Linked DNA regions of Kluyveromyces lactis. The protein of the gene in region 2 interacts with the protein of the main gene of each other region in a biochemical or structural test. Links are inferred from orthologs where the notes say so. Each region holds a gene or a part of one and is shown on either strand. Other genes may lie near its edges.

Evidence for each region.
Region 1: the proteins of CBF5 (region 2) and NHP2 form a complex in vitro, tested with the Saccharomyces cerevisiae proteins (2 studies listed by BioGRID). The link is inferred for Kluyveromyces lactis from reciprocal best matches to the Saccharomyces cerevisiae genes CBF5 and NHP2.

What each region holds. Positions count from the first base shown.
Region 1 is NC_006039.1:1,335,998-1,338,592, reverse strand, and holds NHP2 (snoRNA-binding protein NHP2), read left to right. Parts: upstream 1-1,566; coding exon 1,567-2,016; downstream 2,017-2,595. Other genes in the region: active spliceosome conformation promoter CWC2, read right to left, coding at 1-609; SNU56 (Snu56p), read left to right, coding at 2,505-2,595. UniProt on the Saccharomyces cerevisiae protein: Non-catalytic component of the H/ACA small nucleolar ribonucleoprotein (H/ACA snoRNP), which catalyzes pseudouridylation of rRNA and is required for ribosome biogenesis.
Region 2 is NC_006040.1:407,817-411,466, reverse strand, and holds CBF5 (pseudouridine synthase CBF5), read right to left. Parts: upstream 2,163-3,650; coding exon 738-2,162; downstream 1-737. Other genes in the region: KLLA0_D04774g (uncharacterized protein), read right to left, coding at 2,621-3,650. UniProt on the Saccharomyces cerevisiae protein: Catalytic subunit of H/ACA small nucleolar ribonucleoprotein (H/ACA snoRNP) complex, which catalyzes pseudouridylation of rRNA. This involves the isomerization of uridine such that the ribose is subsequently attached to C5, instead of the normal N1.

The DNA.
Region 1 (2,595 bases), on a different chromosome or scaffold from region 2:
CTGATTGCCCATTGCTTCCTTAGTAAATTCGGAGTTACACTGTAATTTGAACTTGACAAAGGCACAATTCTTACTCTCCACGTATCGAACAGAATCCAATTCTCCAAGTTTCCCGAACTTGTATTTCACTCTATTCTCAATCTGATGTGGTTTCAAAGTTTTGTTGTTGAGTGCCCCTGTAATACCACCCACGTATAAGACACGGTTAGGTTTCTTGAAGGAACCTACCCCACCCATATCATCTCTATAATCAGCAAATTTCTCTCTTCCAAAACAATCTAACGCAGAGGAATGCAAAGCTAACCTCGCAAAATCATCTGGCTCTGGAATATGATGCAAGTACCGACAATTTTTGCCTAAACAGCACATTCCCTTAGCGAAATACAAACAGAAATGAATCCGACCCTCTTTATCACCTTTAGTGATACCAGAATCGTTCTCGGGATCAAGCGAGTACGGTGTGACGAACCTAGTGGACCCACTTTGCCCCTGTGACCATTTGTTGTACCATACGTTGAAAGCCAAACCCGTCTGAGGCGGTACTGATGAAGGTAGGTCAGACTCCTGTAACTGAACCCTTGCTGGTCGGTTCTTCCAATCCCCAGTCATAATATATTGATGACGATGACCTTAATATTTGGCAATTTGCCAAACCAAGTATTCTTTAATGACCTCGAACAAGCAAACAGTTTGAACCGTCCAATTTATGCAACAACAGATACCGTATTATAACGGTGAAAACTGTATCTTGTCGAGCACACATCTTCCATGTTCATCTCATCGCAGGCCAAAGTGTTTTCAATAAACTTCAAGGTTGGAACTTTTCTTTAGTGAAAACGATCATGATCAAAAACAAAATGGAAACGAAAAAAAGATAAGTCTCCCGGGGGCGAGTCGAACGCCCGATCTCCAGATTACAAATTGCTTTGTGTTTTCAAATTACAGTCTGGCGCCTTAAACCAACTTGGCTACCGAGAGAAGTTACTTGTGTGTTGTAATTTTCAATGATGCTATAACCAAACTTCAAGGTTTACTAAGACTACATTGCCTGACATTAAGAGGTATATGGAGTATTTAAACCTTTTAAAGTATTTAATTATACAAGTGAAGTGATCACAGGACAATAATGCCCTGCACCTGGAACAGCTAATTTCTCCTACAGAGTTTAATCATTGTACATATTGTTCGCCATTTAAAACTCCAAGTTTTGTATGAAATTAAAGGGACTCATCCAGAATAATGTTAGGCGATGGACATTTCTACAACTGCTATGTACCACCTCCGAAACAAGACGCTGGCACGATATTCTGAAAAGTTGTTTATGTGTCGCATGGATTAATTTATGTCGTCCCTACTGTAATTGATACTTTATTTCTTTTTCATGTTACTCGGTACTGGAAAATTTTCATTTTTTGTTAACAAAAAGAAGAGCGATGAGTATGAGAATTGAACTGTTGAATGAATCGATGAACCTATCTTGCTGATGTGATATTGATTCCTTTCTCAATCAATTGCTCGCTCTATTTGAACCAGGGGAACAGTGAAGAACTATACATAATAACAAAGATGGCCAAGGATAAGAGTGTATCAACAGAAGACAACTACGAAGCTAGACTTCCTGCCGTTCTACCATTTGCAAAACCTCTAGCATCAAAGAAACTGAACAAAAAGGTGTTAAAGACCGTCAAGAAGGCTTCCAAGGCTAAGAATGTCAAAAGAGGTGTCAAAGAGGTTGTCAAGGCTTTGAGAAAGGGTGATAAAGGGTTAGTAGTCATTGCTGGTGATATTTTCCCACAAGATGTTATTTCTCACTTGCCAGTTTTGTGTGAAGACCAATCTGTTCCATATATCTTTGTGCCCTCGAAGCAAGATCTAGGTTCTGCTGGTGCCACCAAGAGACCTACTTCTGTTGTATTCATCGTTCCAGGCTCTAACAAGAAGAAAGATGCTAAGGCTAAGGAAGAAGAATACCGTGCTGCATTCGATGAAATTGTTAAGGAAGTAAGCTCTTTGTAGAGATATGAAAACTGTCGACAGAACAACCGGAAAAGAGAAAGTTATAATCGCAAAACACCGAGTGTTTCGTTAATTGCTTCCTGGTGTTGGCTTGTTTAATTAACCCCAACTACTTCCACTTCACAACTACTATTTTTGAACTCTTCTTGCAATGCATATACTGAGACTGCAAGACTAATTTCCAATTGGCATATACCAGTTGATTCGAGCATCTACTTACACCCACCTATCTGTAAAATAAATATTAATATCTATGTACCGAAGTCATCAAATCATATAGATTACTATCGTTAAAAGCACTCTGCAATTTGTGTATTCTGTCTCGATTTGTATACCAGCGTTTTTTCTAACAGTAACAGAAACCAAATAAAAGAAAACATCATATTAAGTAACATTCGTGAAGTACTAACGGAATATGTTGCCCAAGATTAAGATAACCTTCCATCCCATTAATTAAGATCCTATATAAGGGATACAAGCACTCTATAATGTATGGAAAGAAAAGGCAGAGACCGGCCTCTGCAGACTTTCGCCATTCTCCAAATAAGAAACAACAAACAACGTTAGTGCCTAATAAAT
Region 2 (3,650 bases):
TGTTTTCATTTCTTTAAATGTTTACTCCCATTAATTATTTCCAATTCAAATGTTCCATTCACATTCACTTCAGCAGAAGCAATCTTATCGTATGGCTACATTGTCTGTCGATTAATGCGTTAACTTTCTGACCACACTGTACACTATTTTCAAAAAAATATCCTTCGGTAAATGAAGCACGCAACATAAGTTGAGGACGCAATATAATATGCGAGAGAATACAAGGAGAATTATTCAATGATTGTTAATACTGGTAAAGTAAGAAACGGGACGTTTCATTGTGACACCTCGACTTCTGTTCACAATGTAACCATTTGCATAGATTTTAACCTTCATTTACCTTTTTATTGAGCAAATGACATCATGCAAATAAAAGACATACCAATCTGCAAGTTTCCCGACTTCTATTTGGTTCCGAACAATTGATGTCTGCCAAAAAAAAAAAAACTCCAAGTATTATTATCAAATCTTCTATCTACCTCATACATTTACCATTACTTTTTGCCATTACTTCAATTGAAGACGTAATGGTGTCTTCACACGCGCATAAATAATTTACAAATTTATATATACGAATACAATGATATACAACATCGACACAGGGTACAAAAAACAGTCGTGACGAAATACGTTTTTCAATGATTAAAAATATTCTACAGTGTACATAACCTAAATGATAAACTCTATGCAGTTTTGAAATTTCGATCGATGATATGAAGGACTTAGATTGTAGTCGTTTATTTCTTTGACTTCTTCTTCTTCTTCTCGGAAGACTCATCATCGTCAGCCTTTCTCTTCTTCTCCTTCTTCTCCTTCTTTTCCTTTTTCTCCTTCTTGTCCTTCTTCTCCTTCTTTTCCTTCTTGTCCTTCTTTTCTTCTGGTGTCTTTGATTCTTCCTTTGATTCTTCCTTCTGTTCGACTTCCTTCTTTTCTACTTCTTTGATCAGTGGTTTTTCTTCTGATTTGGATGCAGGGGCGGTAGTTGGTTCAGCATTCTCCAATGAAACGTAAGTCTTCTTCCAGGTCTCTGGAGTATTTTCGTTGGCACGGCCATATTTGTCTAGCTTACCGTCAGCCTTCATTTGTTTTTTCTTTTGGGCAATTGGACCAAGACCCCATCTTCTTGGATATAGGTCTCTTTCCATGATACATCTCTTAACCTTGGCAACAACTCCGTGGTCACAAGTAGCTAAATCGACAGTAGACATTTGAGCAATGGCAACTGCAATGGCCTCACCCTTGGTGGTGATTAATACAACTTCGTCATATAATTCAATACCTTCCTCATAACGAAGTAGACCTGGAATCATCAACTTGGCACCGTAACAAACAGCGTTAACAGCAGAATCTTTGACAACAATTCTTTTGTAACCGACTAATAGAGTTTCTAATGGTTGAATGATCTTTCTTAGGTAGGATTCATCCCTGGTGTTATCGTATACCCATTGTGCATCCATAACATCATGTAGGGTGACCAAGTTATCGTTTTCGGACAAAGCACCGGATCTAACACGACGCAACTCTTGCATATGGCCACCGACACCTAAAAGCATACCAAGATGGACACATAAAGTTCTCATATAAGTACCAGCTTCACAGGAAGCCCAGAAAACACCCAAGTTCCTCTTGTTGTCAAATTCGATCAAGTTGGAGTCATAAATGGTACGGACACGTAATTGACGCTTAACAGCAGAAATTAAAGGAGGTCTTTGGAACAAAGCACCAGTCAAATTTTCTAAACCTCTGCCCAATTCCTTCTCGTCCTTAAGGGCATCGTGCAATCTAACGATACAAACATACTCTTTACCAGCACCTTGTTGAGACTTGACCAATCTGGTAGCTCTGTCAACACAGACGATCAAACAACCAGTGACTTTAGGATCTAAAGTACCAGAATGACCTGTTTTTTCGCAACGCAAGATACGCTTGATCCAAGCAACAACTTCGTGAGAAGATGGGTTTGAAGGTTTGTCCAAATTGATGACACCAGAACTGATATATGACTTCAAATCTCTCTTCAAAGGAGAGGCACCAGCTGGAATTGGTGTGTAATGACCACTTCTGACTAATAGTTTGTCATAGTCCTTCAACAATAAAGGCCACTCACTAGTGTTACTAGATGGTGAAACACTCTCTGGCTTAATAACAAATTCGTCAGACATCGATCTCTATCTTACTTATTAGCTTTCTAACGAACAATCCAGTACACTATCTCCTTCAAATATCGAGAGAAAACAATAAAAGGATAGTAGCAACAATATCGTAAAGCAGAATCTACACTAAAGTGACAGTTTTTAGTCCAGTAAGATGAATCTACTTCTAATAGAACTCTATACTTTTCTTGTTAAAGCTCATCTCATCTCATCGTCTTCATCAAATTTTTTTCTTCAGGTAGAAAATTTTCAGATATCTCAAAAAGCAATTATTTCCGGGTAATGAATTATATTCACCTTGACGTTTAAGTATATATGACAGACATTGGAAATAGCATTGCCAAGTGAGAGTAGTTTTTATAGCCTTCTAGGAAGTGAGTTTGCATTTTTATTTAATGGACTAAACTAGCTGCTAATATGTTCATTATGTTAGGTTAAATTCTGTTAACTTAGTACGCTGTTTTCATTCAGATAGATTCCAAGTACTTGGCGTTATAGTTGTTCTTCAAAGCGCTAGCCCAGTTCCTAGTGGATAACTGTGCGATATTTGAAGTTGAATAATCTGTCTCAATTCCAGTTGAAAATATGGAATCTTCTTTGTCTGGCGATAGCTCTGATGTGTTTTGGTTTTGCTTCCACTCTCGGAGCTTTTGTATAATTTGTTTAGCGTTGTGTTTCGACCTTGAGGAACAGTTGCTATTCACATTGGCTACTTTAAGCTCACGGAGTGAATCATTAAAACCTTGTTTTTGTTCTGATATGTAGTGTAACTCTTCGTTTCTATTGTCTTTATTTTCTATGCCATCACTAACACTTGTAATGGTGATCGCAGGTTTGTATTCTGGTTTGGGCTTGTTGGAGACCATATTGTCTCTGATATTTTGGAACATATCTCTTTTCTTCATAAAATAATTCAAAGTCCGGTTTGTAGACCCGAATCTATCCACATTATTGCTGTATATGGCACTAAGCGCAGATTCTGCTTTAAGAGTAACTTTTAAGGCACTACTTAAAGTTTTCTCGTAATTAGTCCTGTAGCTTTGTAGTTCATTATGATACATGTCAGCATTTTTATCTATTTCACGTTTCATCGCTAACAACCTTTTTTGAAACTTCTCATTGAAAAATGCAAGGTCTTCCTTCTTCTTTTTGATAACCTCGTCATGTTTTGACTTTAAAACTATGTTTTCATTACTTAAAATTGCAACTTTTGTCTCAAGTCCCCTGTATCTGCTCTCATTATTTTTTATTTCTGTCACCTTGTTGTCTATTATCAGATCCAATAGACTGATACGGTGGTTTAACTTAACGATTTCCTCTTCTTTTGAATCCAATGCCTTCTCGTAGTCTGTTCTGTCCCAAACCTTTAAAATTCTGCCTCTTTCAGCCTTTGAGAGATCTTTTAATTTAGCAATTTCCCTTTCATGCTTCACTGACAAAAGCTCCAAATCCTTTGCCTTTGTCTCCACTTGCTTTTTCAAAGAACGATTTTCTACC